Anolis sagrei: one gene and its partners. The protein of the gene in region 1 purifies or fractionates together with the protein of each later gene. This does not show direct contact. Links are inferred from orthologs where the notes say so. Each region holds a gene or a part of one and is shown in the gene's direction. Other genes may lie near its edges.

Region 1 (8,126 bases):
GGATGTAGGTGAACTACAACTCCCAAACTCAAGGTCAATGCTCACCAATCCCTTCTAGTATTTTCTGTTGGTCATGAGAGTCCTGTGTCCCAAGATTGGTTCAATTCCATCATTGGTGGAGTTCAGAATGCTCTTTGATTGTAGGTGAACTATAAATCGCAGCAACTACAACTCCCAAATGACAAAATCAAATTTTTTTTAGTGAAGGACATACATTGGACTGTTAGGTGTCTTGTGTCCAAATTTGGTGACAATTTGTCCAGTGGTATTGGAGTTCTGTTAATCCCACAAACGAACATTACATTTTTATTTAAATAGATTTAATTTAATTTAATTAATAATCTATTTTTATATTATATCCTACTTGGATAACGAGGGATCGCCTAAGTAAGTTTTTTTATTAAAGTATGTAAATGTTGTTGTTGTTGTTGTTATTATTATTATTATTAAGTTGCTACCCCTCTATTCTGTTTTGGTTAGACCACATCTGGAATATTGTGTCCAATTCTGGGCACCACAATTCAAGAGAGATATTGACAAGCTGGAATGTGTCCAGAGGAGGGCGACTCAAATTATCAAGGGTCTGGAGAACAAGCCCTATGAGGAGCGGCTTAAGGAGCTGGGCATGTTTAACCTGAAGAAGAGAAGGCTGAGAGGGGATATGATAGCCATGTATAAATATGTGAAGGAAGTCATAGGGAGGAGGGAGCAGATCAAGGGTCTGAAGAACAAGCCCTATGAGGAGCGGCTTAAGGAGCTGGGCATGTTTAGCCTGAAGAAGAGAAGTCTGAGAGGGGATATGATAGCCATGTATAAATATGTGAGAGGAAGCCACTGGGAGGAGGAGGGAGCAGGCTTGTTTTCTGCTTCCTTGGAGACTAGGACGCAATGGAACAATGGCTTCAAACTACAAGAGAGGAGATTCCATCTGAACATGACTGTGAGAGCCGTTCAGCAGTGGAACTCTCTGCCCCGGAGTGTGGTGGAGGCTCCTTCTTTGGAAGCTTTTAAACAGAGGCTGGATGGCCATCTGTCAGGGGTGATTTGAATGCAATATTCCTGCTTCTTGGCAGAATGGGGTTGGACTGGATGGCCCATGAGGTCTCTTCCAACTCTTTGATTCTATTATTATTATTATTATTATTATTATTATTATTATTAAGTTTTAGGGAGCTGTCCAAACAGGCTGCAATACCCCGACGAGGCTGGATGGTCATCTATCAGGGGTGATTTAAATGCAATATTCCTGCTTCTTGGCAGGGGTTGGACTGGATGGCCCATGAGGTCTCTTCCAACTCTTTGATTCTATGATTCTATTATTATTATTATTATTATTATTATTATTATTATTATTATTATTATTATTATTATTATTATTATTAAGTTTTAGGGAGCTGTCCAAACAGGCTGCAATACCCGGACGTGGCCACATGATGGCAGCAAAGGAGAGTACATTGGAGCAAAAGTTTTGGGGCAAAAGGCAATTTAATAGAGCAGAAAACCCAGGCGGGTGCAATCTGGACATGTCCCCTAGAGGGCAGCAAAGAGACCGCACGATTAGAACGAAGGAGCTCATTGGGACCCTGCCTGGGGATGATGGGATCCGTTGGCTCCAGACCTTGTCAAAACAAACCAAACAAACTACAACTCTCGCGATCCCATAGCCTGAGACCTTGTCAAAACAAAGTACAACTCTCAGGATGCTATAGCTAATGAATAAATGAAAGAATGAATTTTCTCTCCACCCCCGCAGTTTGGAATGGAACCTTCGGAGCGGCATTGAGTAAATAGGACTCTGGACGGAACCATTCCAAAGGAGGGGAGTCTTGGAGAGTTTGGGTCCCTTAATAGCCCATTTCCCGGCTTCCTCGCCCCTTACCTGCCTGGCTCTGGATTCCAAGGTGGCAAAGGAAGGTGCCTATTCCTGTGGCTTGGCTCTGACTCCCCTCCTTGCCTCGTCCAGCAGTCAATGGGTTTCTATGGAGGGGGAAAGTCGCCTGGTTAACCCTTTCCCTCCAGGGCAGAAGCAGAGGGAGAGGGAAAAGGCGCCTTTTGGAGGCCAACCGGCGGGAAGGGAGGGAGGGAGGAGGGAGGGCTGCATTGATTGGCTGCAGAACTATTATTATTATTATTATTATTATTATTGTTTCTCCCAAATGCAAACCATCTAAAACAGTGTTTCTTAGCCTTCCTAATGCCTCTTATTGTGGTGACCCCCAATATTATTATTATTATTATTATTATTATTATTATTATTCTCCTTGCAACTTCATAACTCTAATTTGGTTACTGTTATGAATCACAATGTAAACATCTATTTTGCAGGATGTATTTTCATTCACTGGACCAAATTGGGCACAAATACCTGATATGCCCAAGTTTGAATACTGTTGAGGTTGGGGAAGGGGATTGGTTTTGTCATTTGGGAGTGTAGGTGAACTACGACTCCCAGACTCAAGGTCAATGCCCAACAAACCGTTCCAGTATTTTCTGTTGGTCATGGGAGTTCTGTGGGGGAAGTTTGGTTCAATTCCACTGTTGGTGGAGTTCAGAATGCTCTTTGATTGTAGGTGAACTATAAATCCCAGTAACTACAACTCTAAAATGTCTATTTCCCACCAAACTTAACCAGTGTTCAAATTTGGACATATTGAGTATCTGTGCCAAGTTTGGTCCAGAGCTATCATTGTTTGTGTCCACAGTGCTCTCTGGGTGTAGGTGAACTATGACTCCCAAACTCAAGGTCAATGCCCACCAAAGTGTTCCAGTATTTTCTGTTGGTCATGGGAGTTCTGTGGGGGAAGTTTGGTTCAATTCCACTGTTGGTGGAGTTCAGAATGCTCTTTGATTGTAGGTGAACTATAAATCCCTGCAACTAGAACTCTAAAATGTCTATTTCCCACCAAACTTAACCAGTGTTCAAATTTGGACATATTGAGTATCTGTGCCAAGTTTGGTCCAGAGCTATCATTGTTTGTGTCCACAGTGCTCTCTGGGTGTAGGTGAACTATGACTCCCAAACTCAAGGTCAATGCTCACCAAACTGTTCCAGTATTTTCTGTTGGTCAAGGGAGTTCTGTGGGGCAAGTTTGGTTCAATTCCACTGTTGGTAGAGTTCAGAATGCTCTTTGATTGTAGGTGAACTATAAATCCCAGCAACTACAACTTCCCAATGACAAAATCAATCACCAGTATTCAAACTTGGGCTTATCAGGTATTTGTGCCAAATTTGGCCCAGTGAATGAACATATATTTCTGGACCATCTTAACAGCATCCACCCAAACATCCAATTCAGCATGGAAAAAGAAAATGAAGAGTCCTTTGTCCCACCCTGGTCATTATTCCACAGATATATAAACCCCTTTTCCTAGTTCCAACAGACCTCACTACCTCTGAGGATGCTTGCCATAGATGCAGGCGAAATGTCAGGAGAGAATGCCTCTAGAACATGGCCATATAGCCCGAAAAAACCTACAACAACCCAGTGATTCCGGCCATGAATCCTTCTACAATATATAACATTTGATGTGTAATATTTTATTATCTCTGGTTAACTTTTAATCTATAATATTTATATTTAATTAATAATATTTATATCCTATTTATTTAACATTTAATCTATAATATTTCTATTATATTTAATTAATAATATTTCTATTATATTTATATCACATTTGATCTATAATATTTTATTATATCTAGTTAACTTTTAATCTATAATATTTATATGTAATTAATAATATTTATATCCTATTTATTTAACATTTAATCTATAATATTTAATTATATTTAATTAATAATATTTCTATTATATTCAATTAATAATGTTTCTATTATATTTATTTAACATTTAATCTCATATTTATATTATACTTAATTAATAATATTTCTATTATATTTATATAGTATTTGATCTCTAATATTTTACTATGTCTAGTTAACATTTAATCTATAATATTTATATGTAATTAATAATATTTATATCCTATTTATTTAACATTTAATCTATAATATTTAATTATATTTAATTAATAATATTTCTATTATATTCAATTAATAATGTTTCTATTATATTTATTTAACATTTAATCTCATATTTATATTATATTTAATTAATAATATTTCTATTTATCTAACATTTAATCTATAATATTTTACTATATCTAGTTAACATTTAATCTATAATATTTATATGTAATTAATAATATTTATATCCTATTTATTTAGCATTTAATCAATAATATTTCTATTATATTCAATTAATAATGTTTCTATTATATTTATTTCACATTTAATCTATAATATTTTATTATATTTAATTAATAATGTTTCTATTATATTTATTTAACATTTAATTAATAATATTTTACTATATCTAGTTAACATTTAAGCTAAAATATTTCTATTATATGTAATTAATAATATTTATATCCTATTTATTTAACATTTAATCTATAATATTTTATTATATCCAGTTAACATTTAATCTATAATATTTAATAATATTTATATCCTATTGATTTAACATTTAATCAATCATATTTCTATTATATTTAATTTTTATATCCTTTTTTTGACATTTAATCAATAATATTTCTATTATATTCAACTAATATTTGTATTCTATTCAGTTAACAAGGTTTCTAATATATTTACTTAGTCACAATGTTAATATTATTTACCTAATATTTAAATAGCACTAATTGCAACCACAAAAAACCAGAAAAAGTGCTCAGTTTGAGAGGAAACCCTGCGAAACTACATTTCCCAGCATACCCTGGGCCGCCGCGCCTCCTCTAACCCCGCCCTTTCCGGTCTGGCTAAGGCCCGCGAAGATTCGTCCTGATTGGCGGGAATCTTAGAATCCGGCGCGGGAGGGGCAGCGTTGCGTGAGGGGTTCTTCTCCCCTCAGGGCGCATGCGCGTGAGCTTGGTCTGTATGTCTGCCTCTCTCTCCTTTTTGACCCATAGTTTGACCCAATTCCCTCTATTTCCTCCTATTTTTCTGTATTAGACATCTCTATATTGTCTCTAACTACATAGATAGCAGGCCTGGGCCAACTTGGGCCCTCCAGGTGTTTTGGACTACAACTCCCACAATTCCTAATAGCCGGTAGGCTGTTAGGAATTGTGGGAGTTGTAGTCCAAAACACCTGGAGGGCCCAAGTTGGCCCAGGCCTGCTATATACCTATATTATCAACTATATCTGTCTCAAACCCCTATATAACTCTCTATAGTCTCTATACCATCTATTCTATGTATTTATACATAATTTAATAATATTTCATTTATATTTATTTAACATTCAATTAATATTTCTGTTTTATTTATTTAATAATGCATTCCTTTAATATTTATATAAAATGTTCATATTTACTATTTATTATATTTGCTTAACATTCAATTAATATTTCTGTTTTACTTATTTAATAATGCTATCCTTTAATATTTATATAAAATGTTCATATTTACTATTTTTTCTACTATATCTGCTTAACATTCAATTAATATTTCTGTTTTACTTATTTAATATTTATATAAATATTCATATTTACTCATATTTTTCCTATTATATTTGCTTAACATTCAAGTAATATTTCTGTTTTACTTATTTAATATTTATATAAATATTCATATTTACTCATATTTTTCCTATTATATCTGCTTAACATTCAATTAATATTTCTGTTTTACTTATTTAATATTTATATAAATATTCATATTTACTCATATTTTTCCTATTATATTTGCTTAACATTCAATTAATATTTCTGTTTTACTTATTTAATATTTATATAAATATTCATATTTACTCATATTTTTCCTATTATATCTGCTTAACATTCAATTAATATTTCTGTTTTACTTATTTAATATTTATATAAATATTCATATTTACTTATATTTTTCTACTATATTAGCTTAACATTCAATTAATATTTCTATTTTACTTATTTAATAATGCATTCCTTTAATATTTATATAAAAATTTCATATTTACTAATATTTTTTCCTATTGTATTTGCTTAACATTCAATTAATATTTTTGTTTTATTTAATAATGCATTCCTTTAATATTTATATAAAATTTTCATATTTACTAATATTTTTTCCTATTATATTTGCTTAACATTCAATTAATATTTCTTTTACTTATTTAATAATGCATTCCTTTAATGTTTATATAAAATTTTCATATTTACTAATATTTCTATTATAGTTGCTTAACGTTCAATTAATATTTCTGTTTTACTTATTTAATATTTATATAAAAATTCATATTTACTTATATTTTTTCTACTATATCTGCTTAACATTCAATTAATATTTCTTTTACTTATTTAATAATGCATTCCTTTAATATTTATATAAAAATTTCATATTTACTAATATTTTTTCCTATTATATTTGCTTAACATTCAATTAATATTTTTGTTTTATTTAATAATGCGTTCCTTTAATATTTATATAAAATTTTCATATTTACTAATATTTTTTCTACTATATCTGCTTAACATTCAATTAATATTTCTGTTTTATTTATTTAATAATGCATACCTTTAGTATGTATATAAAATTTTCATATTTTTTCTATTATATTTATTTAACATTCAATTAATATTTCTATTTTACTTATTTAATAATGCGTTCCTTTAGTATGTATATAAAAATTTCATATTTACTAATATTTTTCCTATTATATTTGCTTAACATTCAGTTAATGTTTCTGTTTTACTTATTTAATATTTATATAAATATTCATATTTACTAATATTTTTCCTACTATATTTGCTTAACATTCAATTAATATTTCTATTTTACTTATTTAATAATGCATTCCTTTAATATTTATATAAAAATTTCATATTTACTATGATTTTTTCCTATTGTATTTGCTTAACATTCAATTAATATTTCTGTTTTACTTATTTAATATTTATATAAATTCATATTTACTTATATTTTTCCTATTATATTTGCTTAACATTCAATTAATATTTCTGTTTTACTTATTTAATAATGCATTTCTTTAATATTTATATAAAATTCATATTTACGAATATTTTTCCTATTATATTTGCTTAACATTCAATTAATATTTCTTTTATTTATTTAATGATGCATTCCTTTAATGTTTATATAAAAATTTCATATTTACTAATATTTTTTTCTACTATATTTGCTTAACATTCAATTAATATTTCTTTTATTTATTTAATGATGCATTCCTTTAATGTTTATATAAAATTTTCATATTTACTAATATGTTTTCCTATTATATTTGCTTAACATTCAATTAATATTTCTGTTTTACTTATTTAATATTTATATAAAAATTCATATTTACTTATATTTTTCTACTATATTTGCTTAACATTCAATTAATATTTCTATTTTACTTATTTAATAATGCATTCCTTTAATATTTATGTAAAATTTCATATTTACTAATATGTTTTCCTATTATATTTGCTTAACATTCAGTTAATATATCTGTTTCATTTATTTAATAATGCATTCCTTTAATGTTTATATAAAATTTTCATATTGACTAATATTTTTTCTACTATATTTGCTTAACATTCAATTAATATTTCTTTTATTTATTTAATAATGTATTCCTTTAATGTTTATATAAAAATTTCATATTTACTAATATGTTTTCCTGTTATATTTGCTTAACATTCAAATAATATTTCTGTTTTACTTATTTAATAATTCATTCCTTTAATATTTATATAAAAATTTCATATTTACTAATATTTTTTCCTATTATATTTGCTTAAAATTCAATTAATATTTCTGTTTTATTTATTTAATAATGCATTAATATATGTGTGTGTGTGTGTGTGTGTGTGTGTGTGTGTGTATATATATATATATATATATATATATATAGCTATATCATCTATATCTCACTTTATATCTTCCTCAAGCTGTACTTCTATAATATTGTTTCATTTTCCGCCCCTATTTTTTCCCTATTGGCATTTTATCCATTTTCTCCCATTGCTTATTTACTTATTTATTTACAGCATTTATATTCCGCCCTTCTAATTTGATCATATTCTATATTTTCCAGGTGGGGAGATGGTTGGCTTTCTTTTCTTCTTCTGGACGGATT
Region 2 (8,027 bases), on another chromosome or scaffold:
CTCTGTTGCTGCCAAGATTCAAGCTGCAAGTGTTGTTCCTTCAGGTTAAGAAAAAAGTGAGTATTTTGCAAACCTAGTACAGGCAGTCTGCAAGTTGTGAATAAGATATGTTCTGTAGCTTTGTTCTTAAGTTGAATTTGTAAATAAGTTACATAATCTTTTAGCTTTGGCTAGCATAAGGAAGGGTTAACACCCCTGTGGTGTTCATTTTGCTGTCTGTGCCTCTGTTCAGAAGATTTCACATCTCTTTCTGTCCCTGTGAGAATTGGATTTTGAAAAATTTAGCTTGCTGTGGAAACAAGAATTTGAGATAAAGCCTCAGTTGAAACACCTTTGCCTCATGATAACTCTTTCAGGAATGAATATCCATTCTTACGGTTAGATTTCTCACACTTCCTGTTGTCTCACCCCCGTTTTTAACTATGAGTCATCTGTAAGTCTGATGGTTGTAACTAGGAGACTGCCTGTACAATTTTTTTGGAGAGATTAAAGAAACTTAACCTCCATCTACACTGTTGAATTCATGCAGCTTAACACCATTTTAACTGTCATGTTTCAAAGTGATGGGATCATTAGATTTGTAGTTTGGTGAGACATCCCTACTTTCTGGAAGAGAAAGCTAAAGGTCTTGTAAAACCACAGTGCCCATAATTCCATGGCATTGAGCCGCAGCATCAACTGCATTAATTCTACAGTGTATATGCACCATTAGGGAATATCCATTCAAACGGATTGGTTGGTTATTCAAGACAATGGAACGATTTCTTTTCCCAGTATATGGTCAGGCTGCAGGAGTGACCAGACTTTTAAAGCCAAGGGCCAGTTCACAGTCCCTTATTCTGTTGGAGGGCCAGAATATAGTTTGCAAAAAAAATGAATGCATTCTTATGCACACTGCATATGTCTTATTTATAGTGCAAAACAAACAAACAAACATGGAAGAACAATACAATATATAAAACAAAGAACAATTTTAACCAACGTAAATGTACCAGTCTTTTAATGGGAAGTGTGGGCCTGCTTTTGGTTAATGGGAGAGTCAAGTTAATTAGAATTGTTGTGTGCCTTCAAGTCATTTCAGACAATGGCATATTCTGCCTCAGAGTCTGGTGGAGTCTCCTTCTCTGAAGTCTTTTCAGCAGAGTCTGCACAGCCATCTGTTGGGAGGGCTTTGATTGTGGCCTGTAGTTGCCCCCTGACTCTCCCTTTTTCTTCCCAAGGAAGGAGCCACAGCAAAGGGAAGCCTTTTTGGAAAATGTGGGGGGCCCTGATCCCCAAGAAGGAAGGAACGAAGAGAGGCAGGAACTCAAGAAAGGGAGGGAGGGAGGCCTAGAGAGTGGGGTTGTGGAACTGGGGCCGCAATTGGCCCCCAGACTGGACTTTGGACATGCCTGGGCTATAGAATCCATTGCCACTTGGATGGGAGATCACCTATGAATGCCAGGAACTCTGGGTTACATTTCAGAAAAAAGAACTGGTAAAACCGCCTCTGAGTATCCCTTGCAAAAGAAAACCCTGTGAAATTCATGGGGTCTCTGTACGTTGACAGGTGATTTAAATCCACAGTAGACTTGAAAACACAGACACGGCTGGGAAATACAGAGCAGTGAGATTATAATTTAGTCAGCCAATAGGGGGCTCTTTGAGGCTCTCAGAAATTGCAATTCCAACTCTATTTTAAAAATAATAATAACTAAAACTAACAAGATACAGCGATTCTTCTTTTTAAAAAGTGTTGTTAACTAATAACTACATTTTAAAATTCACTTCCCAAATTTCAACATGTACATAAGAAAGGAAAATGATTGTACTTAGAACACTTTCCTACCTTTGAATTGTACCCATTAGGAAAAAGGGGAGAAGAAATTCTCTGAGTGTGGTCTCAATGCCTCTCTTGTTCTTTTTATATAAAAGCGAAAATATGTATGTTGTATGTATGTAAGTTTGTATCTAATCTATGTATCTATTTCCCAAGATGGCTTACACTTCCAGGGAGCAGTGTGACTCCCACAAACAATCGATCTAAACCAAACTTACCCTGCATAACTAACAGAAAATACTGGAGGTGTTTGGGGGGACAGACCCAACATGATGGAGCTGTAGTCCACCTACACCCTTGGAGAACTGTGAACCCTATCAACTATGGATCTGGACCAAACCTGGCGCATTTACCCATTATGACCAACTTTAACAACTGTTGGGGTTTGGTGGGAATGATAGGAGTTGTAGTTCACCCTGCATCCAGAGAGCAGTGTGAACCCCACCAATGATAGATCTGAACTAAACTTGGCACACACACCCAACATGACAAACAGAAAATACTGGTGGGGTTTGAGGTGGATTGACCTTGGATGCATTGTGCATTTTCTTAATAGAACCATTCATAAAAAATTTAAAAAGCTTTAAAAATATAAATAGCATTACAAATTACCAAATACTTAAGCTGGACATTGCCGGGTACCTAAACTCAGGGAAAATGAAGTGTGTTTTAAAACATTTACTTGAACAGTTGATCCAGTGAAGTATAGTTGGCCCTCCATATCCAGATTCTGCATCCACAATTTCATACATGCAAGACTGAGAACAAGCCATGAGAATAAAGACGAAGATCCACCCAGAGGAAAAGTGTTCTTGCCATACATCAAGGGAACCACTGACCGCATAGGGAAGCTGATGAGAAAACACAACATACAAACTATCTACAGACCCACCAAGAAAATCCAATAAATGCTACGTTCAGCAAAGGATAAGAGGGATCCTCTCACCTCTGCAGGAGTCTACCGTGTACCATGCAGCTGTGGACAAGTCTACATAGGGACCACCAAACGTAGCATTGCCCAAACACGAATCAAGGAACATGAAAGGTACTGAGGACTACTTCAACCAGAGAAGTCAGCCATAGCAGAGCACCTGATGAACCAACCTGGACACAGCATATTATTTGAGAACACAGAAATGCTGGACCACTCTCACAACCACCATGTCAGACTACACAGAGAAGCCAATGAAATCCACAAGAAGCATGTGGACAATTTCAACAGAAAGGAGGAGACCATGAAAATGAACAAAATCTGGCTACCAGTATTTTAAAAAAACCCTATATATATTTATTTACTTTATGCTATTCTCACCCCAAAGGGGACTCAGAGCAACTTTTTCTTTTCAAACCATGGATGTATGAAATTGGGTTGTTGTAGGTTTTTTCGGGCTATATGGCCATGTTCTGGAGGCATTCTCTCCTGACGTTTCGTCTGCATCTATGGCAAGCATCCTCAGAGGTAGTGAGGTCTGTTGGAACTAGGAAAAAAGGGTTTATATATCTGTGGAATGACCAGGGTGAGACAAAGGACACTTGCCTGCTGGAGCTAAGTGTGAATGTTTCAACTGACCACCTTGATTAGCATATAATGGCCTGACAGTGCCTAGAGCAAACTTTTGTTGAGAGGTGATTAGATGTCCTTGTTTGTTTCCTCTCTGTTGTGCTGTTGTAATTTTAGAGATACACACACACACACCAAAAGCAAACCTTGATTTTGGACATCCATAGATTTTGGTCTCCACAGGGGGTGCTGGAACCAAACCGCAGCAGATACCAAGGGCCTGCTGTAGATGTAACATGGATGGGCTAAGTTAGCCACAGAGTTGCAGTTGCCCATCCCTGGTTTACAGGGGAAACTAGATCTCGAAAATCCTTGTTGCAAAAGTTATTTGGTGAGTCTGTGCAGTCTCTCCCAATCCCATTAACATCAGACAGAAAGCAGGACTGACTGAATCCAGTATTTTGCCGTGGGATCCAGTAAACATGGGGCACACATCTACATTGCAGAATTAATGCATTTTGACACCACTTTAACTGCCATGGCTAAATACTAAAGGATCATGGAAACTGGAGTTTGGTGAGGTACCAGGACTCTCACGAAAATTGCAACTCCCTTGATTCCACAGCATTGAGCCGCGAGAGTTAAAAGTGGTGTCAAAATGCACTAATTCTGCAGTGCAGATGCACCTTTGAACCCTTTGATTTCAACGCACTTTTTAAAAAAAACTGCAGAAAAGTATATAACAATCCATGCAACTTTTTGCCACTTAATCACACTAGAGAATGAATCGACTTTAAATCCGGTTGCTGCCTCCTACAGAATTCTGGGGTTTGTAGTTTAGGGAGGAGACTTTGACAGCCTCACTTGTATTGGTTTCATTGTTTGGAGTGATTTGTCCCCCTGTCCTTGTGCAACCGTGCTGCTTCCTTTGGCAATGCAGGGCCCCAGCTCCAGGCTGCAATTCCCTGCCCCGCCCCGCCGTGGGAGGAGGCCAAATCCGGGGGAAAGGGCGCGCGCCGTTCCCTCTCCATGTGCTCGGCTCCTCCTCCCGGCTCTAAGGGGGAAACGCTGAAAGGAGAGGAAGATTGGCCTCGCCGGCTTGCCATACTCGAGGCAGCGTGAGCGCCGCGTGAGCGCCGGGGAAGCCGCGCCTGCCTTGGCCGCGGGGGCTGTAGTGCGCGCGCGCTCGCTGGCTGGCTTCCGGGCTCGCCTGCCTCTTGGAACGCTCGCGCTCGCCATGGCCCAGAACGTTCAGAACGTCACACTGTCCCTCACGCTGCCCATCACTTGTCACATTTGCCTGGGAAAGGTAACCCCACTCGCGCTCGGGAGGGAAATTCGGGGCGCTTCACCCACGCCACTCCCTCGGCTGCCCATGGAGGCTGCCTGCTGGCCACATGGCCCTGCTCTCAGCAGGCAAGAAGGCTAGGAACCCCTTAAAAACCCCACCAAAACGAAACAAAACACCCTCCCTTCCCAGACATGAAACCCATTGTTCCTAAATCCTAGTGTTTTTTTATTCTTGTTCGTGGCTGTGGTTCCTTGTAGAGGCCTTGGATAGGATCAGTGATTCTTGGATGCTCATCCTTCAGTCCCCCTCCTTTTCCCCATTTCAGGCCAATCCCTGGCATTCCCATTGTTGTTGTTTTTAATGGAGGTTTTAGGATGGGTGCCAATAACAAGGTAGGCCAGGTCACATCGTGGAATCAAAAGGATAGGGGACCTCATGGAACCCAATGGAGAAATAACAAAGTGGGATAAGATAAAAGATTAATATGGTCAAGGGAACTGGATAGCATGGTTAGGCCTGTCCAGTAAAGCTCAGGCCATGAAAAGAAGAGAAGTAGCAGAAACCCTACTAGACAGAATAATTAAAAGGAAAATAGAAATAGATAAATGAATTATTGGGCTGTTGTATGAGGAACTAATCACCTTAACTTACAACACAAAAACAACCCTTATAGAAACTTTAGCAAGAAATTAACTAAGTCTTGGATTGACCACATTCAGAAAATTAAGCATATGAGGATCAGAGAAATCCAAAGCAAAGTAATCTCTAAATGGTAAAGAACCCCCCATCAATTAGAACACAGAATGGAAAATATTTCCAACAAGTGTTGGCATAATTGATGGGGAAACGGTTTATTCTCCCACATGTGGTGGGATTGTAGAAAAATTCAGAACTATTATAGTAAAATAAGAAATGAAATGGAGGAAATATTAGGGAAAGAATTAATGTGGGATAAAGCCAGATTCTTGTTCCTCACAATAAAGGCAAAAGGAAGATAACAATAATTGGACAGAGATCCTAAAATATATGACAGCCGCAATACAAGCCACAATAGCCCAAGGATGGAGAGAGGATACAAAATGGGATTTAGAAACTTGGTGGGCTTATCTATCAGAATATATAATTCATGATTTCATCAATCAAAGGAAAAATAAGTATATGAATAGTCAAAATGAACAAGACTGGTTCAGGAAATGGTCTGTGCTCATTGACAAAACAGACCGAGACAACAGATATTGCATTTTGAATCAGGCTTTCAACATGGTTTAACTGATGCAATGACATCATTTAGAATTGCTGTTCCAGGGGGGTGGGGAGGGCGGGGGTGATGGGCAATACATAATTAAGGAATGTATAAAATGTCATTTAAGGTATATTTACTTTTGGAATTATGTATACTGAAATAAGTCCTGTATGGCAAAAGTTTGTTAATTGTTGGGATGTTTCAAATAAAATGTATAATTATATTTTTTAAAAATCACATAGTGGTACATCTATACCAGGCATCCGCAAACTCCAACCCTCCTGCTGTTTTGGCCTCCAACTCCCAGAAGCCCTAGCCAGCTTGTTCAATGGTTAGGAATTCTTGGAGTTGGAAACTGAAACAGTTGGAGGACTGGAGTTTGATGATGCCTGATCAACAAGTGGAATGAATGCAGTTCATTCCATGGCACACAAAAAATCCATGGCTCAATGCTGTGGGATCCAGGGAGTTGTCGTTTCTGGCAGAGAAGGCTAAAGGCCTTGTAGAACTACAGATTCCATGGCCATGGCAGTTGAAGTAGTGTCAAGCTACACTCATTCTGCAGTCTAAATGCAGCCATGGGAACCTTCAATTCTAATGAGAGCACCACTTGTTGATGCTCATGTGATTTCTTGATAGTTGTTCTCAGAATTGAGAAACTGAGAAGTTTGTAATAATTTTGTAACGAATTGAGCCACAGCAGGCATAGGCAAACTTGGGCCCTCTGGGTGTTTTGGACTTCCACAATTCCAAACAGCCTCAGGTGTCTTCCTTTTCCCCCTCAGCCGCTTATGCAGCTGAGGGGGAAAAGGAAAGGGCCTGAGGCTGTTAGGAATTGTGGGAGTTGAAGTCCCAAACACCTGGACGGCCAAAGTTTGCCCATACCTGAGCTACAGTCTAAAACTTATTCTGATCTGTGGCGATTTCTGGTTTGTTTGTGGCCTCACCTGCTTCTGTTGTCCTTCTTCACCTGATCTCCCTCTTTGGTCATGTCTTTCCTATAAAAGTGTGCTTGGTTCACTCTGCGGTTTTGTTTTCTGTGCTTTGTGATCATAAGCTCTTTAACTGGCTTTTTTGCTTTTACTATCTTCTGTCAGAACTACTTGTTTGGTCCTGGCTATTCCCTAATCGTGGTCCACCAGTTCTGTCTTCACGTAATTTGAAACATGTGGCTTGGTAGAATACCACCTGTGTGTGCCTTCAAATCACCTGTTGATTTATGACAATCCCACGAATTTCATAGTTTTCATAGGAAGACACAAGGTGGTGTTTTTGCCAGTTTCTCTGAAATGCAATCTGCAACCTCTGGTTTTCATTGTTTGCTTTCCATCCAAGTATTAACCAGGTCTGACCCTTTTTAGCTTCCCCAATCAGACAGGATCTGGTGCCTTCGGGATATTTAAACCTCATTAGAATTTTAATTAATGTTTGTTGGGTGGAAGTGGGAGAAATTGTCCATTCACTTCATAAGACACTTTTACAGTCAGGTGACGGTTTATTTGTTTATTCTTATCAGCTGGTGCTTGCTTTAGTACTGCAGATTTTAGTCTGAACTTTAAAGGACCTGTCCAAGGTGCTGAACCTATTTGAGACCTGGAGCTTTAGTATATGTTCCTTCAAGTTCACATCACATTGTTTGCTAACAGTATGCAAAGTCCGATGTCTTGCTGTATTGCAAAATGTTAAGGAATTTAATGGCGATATTTAAGGGAGATGTTGACAAGCTGGAATATGTCCAGAGGAGAGTGACTAAAATGATCAAGGGTCTGGAGAATAAGCCCTATGAGGAGTGGCTTAAAGAGCCTGCAGAAGAGAAGGCTGAGAGGAGACATGATGGCCATGTATAAATATGTGAGGGGAGGTCATAGGGAGGAGAAAGCAAGCTTGTTTTCTACTGCCTTGAAGACTAGGATGTGGAACAATGGTTTCAAACTACAGGAAAGCAGATTCCATCTGAACATTAGGAAGAACTTCCTAGCTGTGAGAGTTGTTCAGGAGTGGAACTCTCTGCCCCGGTGTGTGGTGGAAGCTTCTTCTTTGGAGGTGTTTAAGTAGAGACTGGGTGGCCATCTGGGTGACTGGGTGGCCACACTTTAATCCTACGTTCCTCCTGCCATTTCAGCACTTTTAATCCCTGTACCCCACTGCACCGGCCGAACCAGTTTTTAATAGT
Region 3 (8,266 bases), on another chromosome or scaffold:
GCACATACACATATGTGCACATGGAAATATTCAGTTGTAAAGTCTAAATAGAGGTTCACAACTCATTGAGAACTAGGTCTGTGGTTCAGGTAATGTCTTATGGAATTAAGTGTTATATAAAGTTGCACATACACATTAAGTGGGCCTCTGGTATTTACTGTGGTTTGGTTCCAGGACCCCCATAGATACCACAATCCATGGATGCCTGTTATATACGATTATGTAGTAAAATAGTATCCCTTATATAAAATGGCAAAATCAAATTTTGAATTTTTGATTGTTTTTTTTTTTGGGAGGAGAGGGAATATTTTCAATCTGTAGATGTAGAATCCATAGATACAGAGGGCTAACTATATTTACAACACTGCTATCCATTAGTAGGACAGGCCTGGAGGTTTGAAGTGGAACCTCCGCCAGTATTTTCATTATTAAAACTCCACTTTCTTCTGTTTGTCAGGTGGTGTGGCACTCAATGCAAGATGAGTTCATTCGGCAATACAAGCACTTTGAAGGCTTAATAGCACGTTGCTACCCTGGATCTGGAATTACTATGGAGTTCACTATCCAAGACATTTTGGACTACTTCTCCAGCATTGCACAGTCTCACTAATATCTGCCAAGCAAGATAAGCTGGCAAGCTTTCTGAGAAGAATGTTTGACACTGGAGATATTGTTGCTTTGAGAGTTGGCATTATAAAGGGGTATCTGTAACTGCGCTCATCCTAGCAACCAGTGGCCTAAGCCAAAATGCTACTTAATTACTGGATTTTTAAAAAGTGTTAAATTGTACATTTTCATATGTAGTACAGTCTTGGTAGTTTTACTTTCCACAGGATATTATTAGTTCTGTGTGTTCCTGGAGTACCACACACACTATGCTTCCCTATTCAACTGTAGTTCCTAGAAAATATGCAATTTTAAAGTTGTTGTAAACAGCTAAAGGAGAACTATTGTATCAAAGCATGTTAATATATTGATGGTTAGGATAGCCAAGATTATGCTCTTCAGAATCACTTTACATGACCATTGTTGTAATTCTTCTGAAGTAAAAAAAGTTACATACATAACCTGTGGAAGATTGTTAGTTGTGCTTGAGCAGTTCACAAAAGAAAATCGACAACTGTTTATCCAGTGAGTCATCCAAAGATTGTGTTCATACTTTTCTCTTACTAGTAATAGAAGGATGCTATTGGAAGCTTCCTTTAAAAACACTGAAATAACTTATGGAGATAAAAAGCAATAAAATGCTACAATTCATGGAGCGCAGTTACCTTCCTGCTGAAGCATTACCTATTGATCTACTCATACATATTTCCATGTTTTCTAACTGCTAGGTTGGCAGGAGCTGGAGTTAACAGCGGGAGCTCACCCTGCTCCCAGATTCGAACCTGCAACCTTTTGGTTAAGCAAGTTCAGCAGCTCAACAGTTCAACCCACTTCACCACTGGGGGCTCCATAATGGAAGTTATAAGTAATATTTTATATAAAAGGCTCAAGATTTTTCTGTCCATGATCTAAGCATAGCCAGTGAAGCCAGTAAAATAACACCTTGGACCCTCTCTACACTAAGACCCCTTCTACACTGCCATATAAAATCCAGATAATCCACTTTGAACTGGATTATATAGTATTGTAGACTCATATAATCCAGTTCAAAGCAGATAATGTGGATTACCTACTTTGATAATCTGGAAGTGTAGAAGGGGTCTTAGACAAAATTTTGTTGAATTGGTTGAGAGACTATGAGATACTCATTGAAAAACTATAGCAAAATATGCTGTAGGATGTCCCGCAAAAACAAAGCTTTTGCAGTTTAATCAACTTTCCCCATGTTTTTATGATAGAACCAATTATAAAATGACATTTCTAACCCAGGAACAAAAATCGTGTTACTTAATGTAATCACAGGCACTGTGTCTCAGGATCAGAGCACCTCAGTTCAGGAAGAATTAAAACATTTAATTGGTTACAGTTGGTTTCCTCCGCCTACATATCTGCCTTTCCAGAGTGTTGCCGATGCCACTTTCTCAAGCTGTTCTTACATTTAAATTCTGTGTATGAAGACAATATGATCAAACATCCCTCATAAGGTTTAGTAGTCACCAAACAGCGTTTGTGCCCTGGGGACAGCAAACGAGAACCACTCCACGTTTTAAGTCAAATGAGTTTGCTACAGTGTATTCTAACATTGTCATATAGCAGATGCAAGTACGGTCTTATTGCACTTTTAATCCTTTTCTACAAAAATGCTCAAGGCAACTAATACACGGTAAAATGATTAGACTCAATCATAATCACTGAACATCAAAAAGGGGAGCGGTTGAGCATTATGCAATCCTCCAGATGTGTTGGAGCGGAAATATCAGTTGCCTTAGCCAGAGTTCACTGGCTTCTGGAGGCCACATGTTTATCATTTTTGTCTGTTTTGTTTTAAAGAAGAGGACAAATTGAACTGGGCTCTCAACTGGTGAACCTTGAAAGTCTTTCGGTTGCAAAAAAAATAACAAACTTGTATGGTACGACACAACTTATGGCCCTTCCACACAGCCATATAACCCAGAATATTGAGGCAGATAATCCACAATCTCTGCTTTGAACTGGGTTATCTGAGTACACACTGTCATATAATCCAGTTCAATGTGGATTTTATACAGCTGTGTGAAAGGGGCCTTAGCTGTTCCATTTTGCAACAAATGAAGCTGATTGGTAATCAGATTTTTTTTTTAAAAAAAAAAACAATCTGCCATAACTAGGGGCTGAAAGAGTCCAGATTTCATCAGGTCTTGAAAGCTAAGCAGGCTCAATCTTGGTTAGCCCTTGGATGGGAGACTGCCAGTTAATACCAAATGCTGGAGGCTATATTCCAGAAGTATGGAAGTGGCAAAACCACCTCTGAAGATTCCTTGCCAATGGGTCCTTCCACGCAGCTATATAACACTGAATATCAAGGCAAATAATCTGCAATATTTGCTTTGAACTGGGCGCCCTTCTACACAGCTATATAACACTGAATATCAAGGCAGTTAATCTATACTATCTGCTTTGAACTAGGTTATTGTAATAAGAAATTCAATGTGCAGAATTGATAAATGTGAATTTAATATATGTGTGGGAATGAATGGAAGGATGTATGGGATGAGTTAATAATTTTTGAAACACCAGTAAAATATTAAGGCCTGCAATGACTAACTACCCACTTGCTGGACTGTAATTAAAAGTTGCTAATAAGATCTGAAAAGTAAACTCTGATAAGCACTGGGACAGTGATAACAGAAATGTTTACAATGTTAAGAAGGAAGTCAACATAAAATCAGCACCAATCAAGAAGAATCAAGATCTGGCCAGGAAACAGATGGAACCAGGATGGAAGACGTCTATCATTAATTTACAACTTTGGGACTACATCAGCAGAATATTCCCATAAAAGACTCAATCTAATAATTCTCAAATTGTGACAGACCTGAGGAGTCTGGTTCACCCACTATGCTCTGCTCCATGAGAAGGAGAGATATAGTGTACCATGGAGTGGCAGATTTGCACTGGAGCAGTCTGGTCACTTTGGGGCTTTTTTCTCAAGAGAAGAGGAAGAAGTGCACTTTTGGAGTCTTAGTTTTGTGTGTGGAATCAAGTTCTGCTGTATGGGAAACAGAGATCTGGTCCTTGGCATTGTGCTTAGGGAGAAGATGCATTTTGAAGTTTTGAACTTATGGAAGTTTTGGAACTATGTGTTGGCAGGCTGCAGGAAAGCAGGGTCTGGCCTAACAGGTGCTTCTCGGTACAGTAATATTTGTGCAGGGCCGTAGCCAGGATTTTGTTTTGGGGGGGGGGGGGTTCTGAGTCCAAGTGAAAGAGGGTCTGCCCTAGCAAACCTTTTGTATCGTTACACCAATACCCCCATGCATATGGGATATATTGAGCATGGTGATCAGATCATGATATGAATAATCATAACAGTTTAAATAATGTATCAAGGCCTTCTCGCGGACCACCATGAGAATTTCGGGGGGGGGGGGTGAAGCCCCCCCAAGCCCCCCCCCCCCCGGCTATATGCCTGCACATGTGTGTGGTGATTGAAAATGTAATTCACCTTTGTCTGTTAACCAGTGTAATTGTGAATCCAATGTAGTTGCATAGAATCTATATGCCTATGTCGAAATGATTTTCTGTAATCTGATATACCCCCTCACACTGGAAATTGCAATAAAAACAACCTATGCTTTAAAGTTATTGAAAAGTAATTCATGAGATTATCTGAGTCCACACTGCCATATAATCCAGTTCAATGTGGATTGTATACAGCTGTGTGGAAGGTGCCTCCCAAACTCTGCTCCATCCAGTATTTTGGAGTTCTGCCCCCAGAATCTGATTATTGGGGGAAGCTGCTGCAAATTTAAGTCCACAACATCTGGAGGGACAGGGTGCCCATTAGGTTCTTGTAGGTTTTTTCGGGCTATAGGGCCATGTTCTAGAGGCATTTCTCCTGACGTTTCGCCTGCATCTATGGCAAGCATCCTCAGAGATAGTGAGGTCTGTTGGAATTAGGACAATGGGTTTATATATCTGTGGAATGACTGGGGTGTGGCAAAGAGCTCTCTGCTGAAGCTAGGTGTGAATGTTTCAGCTGACCACCTTCATTAGCATTTGAAGGCCTGGCTGAGCCTGGGAAAATGTTCTGTTGAGAGGTGTTAAGATGTGCCTGGTTGTTTCCTCTCTGCTGTTTTGCTGTTGTAATTTTAGAGTTTTTTAATACTGGTAGCCAGATTTTGTTCATTTTCATGGTCCCTTCCTTTCTGTTGAAATTGTCCACATGCTTGTGGATTTCAATGGCTTCTCTGTGTAGTCTGACATGGTGGTTGTTGGTGTGGTCCAGCATTTCTGTGTTCTCAAATAATATGCTGTGTCCAGGCTGGTTCATCAGGTGCCCATTCATTCCCATTCACTTGCTGCAGTAGACCAATCCGGAAGCGCGAGCTGTCCTACAATCGGCCTGATTGGCTCCTGCGGTCTGGAGGGGCGGGAGTAGTAAAGGACATCGACAACTGCAGTTGCGTGTGCGTCATTCTCCCTGATGCCCGCCAGGGGCCGCTGTGGGGCGGCGGGTGAGGCGCGCGACGCTTGCGACGGTTGCCGGGGCGACCTTGGGGCGGAAGTTGCCGACGCTCCGCGCGCCATTTTCAAACGGCTTGCTAGGCCCGTCCGCTCTTTCTTTCGGCGGAGGGAGAGGGAAGCAGCACCCGGTGGTGTGGAGTAGATGGCCTCCCGGAGCTGGTGAGTGGGAAAAGATTCAGTGGGGCTGTCAGCGTGCCTGGCCTGAAAGAGAGCGCGGCCGAGATTGGAGGCCGCGAAGGCCCGTTTCCATGGCGACGCGGATGACGAGAGGGCGGTGACGTCACTTGGAGTGGGAGCCCCTCTTCGAAAGGCCCCCAGGCTGCTACCAGAGCGCGCTGAGGTGGAGGGCCTTCCCTTGAGGCTTCACCGCTTCCTATCCTTACTAATCACCGCCAGGAAATCCCTGTAGCCTTTCAGCCAGGGCAGACAACAGCTTTACCTCCCTTCAGTGTCGAAAGGAATGTTATTGTGTGCTTCCAAGTGGTTTCCTACTTATGGCAACCTTATCATGGAGTTTCCCAGGCAGAATTTCTTCAAAAGAGGCTTGCACTTCCCTTCCTCTGAGGCCCCACCCACACAGCTGAAAATAACCCCACATTATCTGCTTTATTTATTTATTTGCGACATTTATATTTATTTATTTATTTATTTGGGGTTCTTTTACCCCTCCCTTCTCACCCCGAAGGGGACTCAGGGCGGCTTACAAAAGCAAAGGCACAATTTGATGCCTGCATCATAAAAACAATCATACACAAAATTACATCAATACACAGTTAACAACAATTATGCATTAGAACCATGAAATCAATGAAATCAATAAAACCAAATACAAACCCAATTTCTCCTCTTACATGGTCAGCGTTCGCTACTCATAGATCTAGTTTTACGTTCCACTTCATCAATCCAGTCTTACTCGCCTGGTTGTCTGATTTAGTTGCCGGAGTGCCCAAAGGCCTGGTCCCATAACCAAGTCTTCACCCTTCTCCTAAAGGCAAGGAGGGATGATGATGCCCTGATTTCCCCCGGGAGTGAGTTCCACAGGTGAGGGGCCACCACTGAGAAAGCCCTGCTCCTCGTCCCCACCAACCTCACTTGTGACAGTGGTGGGGTTGATAGCAGGGCCTCCCCAGATGATCTCAGACTCCGAGGTGGGACGTAGAGGGAGATACGTTCGGACAGATACACTGGACTGGAACTGTACAGGGTTTTGTAGGTCAAAACCAGCCACCCTTCTCTCCCTGAAGGGGACTCAGAGCGGCTTACAAAACATATAAACATACAACATATTATATTATTAGCATAGTAGGTAAAGGTAAAGGTAGTCCCCTGACATTAAGTCCAGTCATGTCTGACTCTGGGGTGTGGTGCTCATCTCCATTTCTAAGCCGAAGAGCCGGCGTTGTCCATAGACACCTCCAAGGTCATGTGGCCGGCATGACTGCATGGAGCGCCGTTACCTTCCCGCCGGAGCGGTACCTATTGATCTATTCACATTTGCATGTTTTCGAACTGCTAGGTTGGCAGAAGCTAGGGCTGACAACGGAAGCTCACGCCGCTCCCCGGAATCAAACCTGCGACTTTTCGATCAACAAGCTCAGCAGCTCAGTGCTTTAACTCACTGCGCCACCGGTGGCTCCTATTAGCACAGTACAATATCAGTATCATATATATATATATATATATATATATATATATATATATGGAGCCCCCCTGGTGGCGCAATGGGTTAAACTCCTGTGCCGGCAGGACTGAAGACTGATAGGTCACAGATTCGAATCCGGGGAGAGGCGGATGAGCTCCCTCTATCAGCTCCAGCTCCTCATGCGGGGACATGAGAGAAGCCTCCCACAAGGATGATAAAAACATCAAAAATCATCTCGCCGTCCCCTGCAGATGGCCAATTCTCTCACACCAGGAGCCCTGAGAGAGTGTGATTTACCAAAGTCACCCAGTGGGTTCCCATAGCCAAGTAGGCGTTTGAAGTCTGGCCAGCAGAGTTGGAAGAGGCCACATGGCCATCTAGTCCAATCCCTTGCTATGCAGGAAAAGCACAATCAGTGTCCCTGACAGATGGCCATCCAGCCTCTGTTTAAAAGCCTCCAATGAAGGAGCTTTCATCACACTCTGATGTAGAGAATTCCACAGCTGAACAGTTCTTACAGTCAAGAAGGGAAGCGTATTCAGAAGGGTCATACTTCAAACACTAATAAGGAAGTACCAGCAGCATGATCTAAAAGGGGTGGTGGCATCAATGCAAGGAAATATCTCCATAACAAAACTGGAAGACATGTCATATTGATCTATACCTTATCTTAAATGAGTGTCCCTACTCAGCCCTCATGCTCGTGTAATGTGCACATTTTTCAAATTACTTGCAGATTCTGATTGTTAACCCCAAATATCTCTGCTACAAATATCTTCACAATGACTACGGCTGCAGAGAGAAAGTTTGTTAATCTCAGGAAGCATTTGGATCAGCTGGGATATCGACAGCCTCTGGGAATAGAAAGCCTCCCATTGGTGGAAAAGCTTTTCAGGTATTGAAACAAAATGATATAATAAAAAGTACGCGGGATGTATCGGTATTATAGAATTAATGCAGTTTACACCACTGTAATTGTCATAACTCAGTGCTGTGGACTGATGAAAGTGGTAGTATGGTAAGGCACCAGAACTTTTGGCAAACAGAACCAAAGATCTTGTAAAAATATTACAATTTCCGTGGCAGTTAAAGTGGTGTCAAACTGCATGGTCACTTGTATAAATAAAAGTACTCACCAGAGCAGAACAATTCCTTGGTTTCTGCACAATACATTTCTGAATATAGGCATTTTGCATTTGGGTTTTGGTGCAAGCTCAGCAAGATGTCCGATCCTCTTCCTTTCCTATCCATGACAAGTAAAATATTCCTAGGCTGTTTCATCTTCCTTACAAGCTAGATAGCGATTAATCCAGACTCATTATAAAGACCAGAAAGTCACAGATTTTGTTCCAGTAATTTCTGGTTTTATTTTGGAGATGGTACGTGTTTTGTTCATCCCAGAATGTTTTCTGTCAGCTCCCATTATGATCAGTGACTTTTTTATACCATCTCTCTAGGACGGTTTATTTTAATTCAGTTTAAAATCGAAAGAACAGGAGCAATATTGGGACTTTT

The links.
Region 2: the proteins of WRAP73 (region 1) and OBI1 purify together in Homo sapiens (affinity purification with mass spectrometry; 3 studies listed by BioGRID and IntAct, counting the BioPlex papers as one, with this or other methods). This does not show direct contact. The link is inferred for Anolis sagrei from reciprocal best matches to the Homo sapiens genes WRAP73 and OBI1.
Region 3: the proteins of WRAP73 (region 1) and CEP135 purify together in Homo sapiens (co-immunoprecipitation; 6 studies listed by BioGRID and IntAct, counting the BioPlex papers as one, with this or other methods). This does not show direct contact. The link is inferred for Anolis sagrei from reciprocal best matches to the Homo sapiens genes WRAP73 and CEP135.

The regions. Positions count from the first base shown.
Region 1 is NC_090033.1:11,946,978-11,955,103, reverse strand, and holds the start of WRAP73 (WD repeat-containing protein WRAP73), read left to right. Parts: upstream 1-4,843; 5' UTR 4,844-4,933; exon of another isoform or gene 4,934-4,937; intron 4,938-8,084; 5' UTR 8,085-8,126.
Region 2 is NC_090023.1:116,800,759-116,808,785, reverse strand, and holds the start of OBI1 (ORC ubiquitin ligase 1), read left to right. Parts: upstream 1-4,400; 5' UTR 4,401-4,557; coding exon 4,558-4,629; intron 4,630-8,027. UniProt on the Homo sapiens protein: E3 ubiquitin ligase essential for DNA replication origin activation during S phase.
Region 3 is NC_090025.1:73,424,749-73,433,014, reverse strand, and holds the start of CEP135 (centrosomal protein of 135 kDa), read left to right. Parts: upstream 1-5,133; 5' UTR 5,134-5,268; intron 5,269-7,487; 5' UTR 7,488-7,533; coding exon 7,534-7,646; intron 7,647-8,266. Other genes in the region: EXOC1 (exocyst complex component 1), read left to right, coding at 458-610. UniProt on the Homo sapiens protein: Centrosomal microtubule-binding protein involved in centriole biogenesis. Acts as a scaffolding protein during early centriole biogenesis.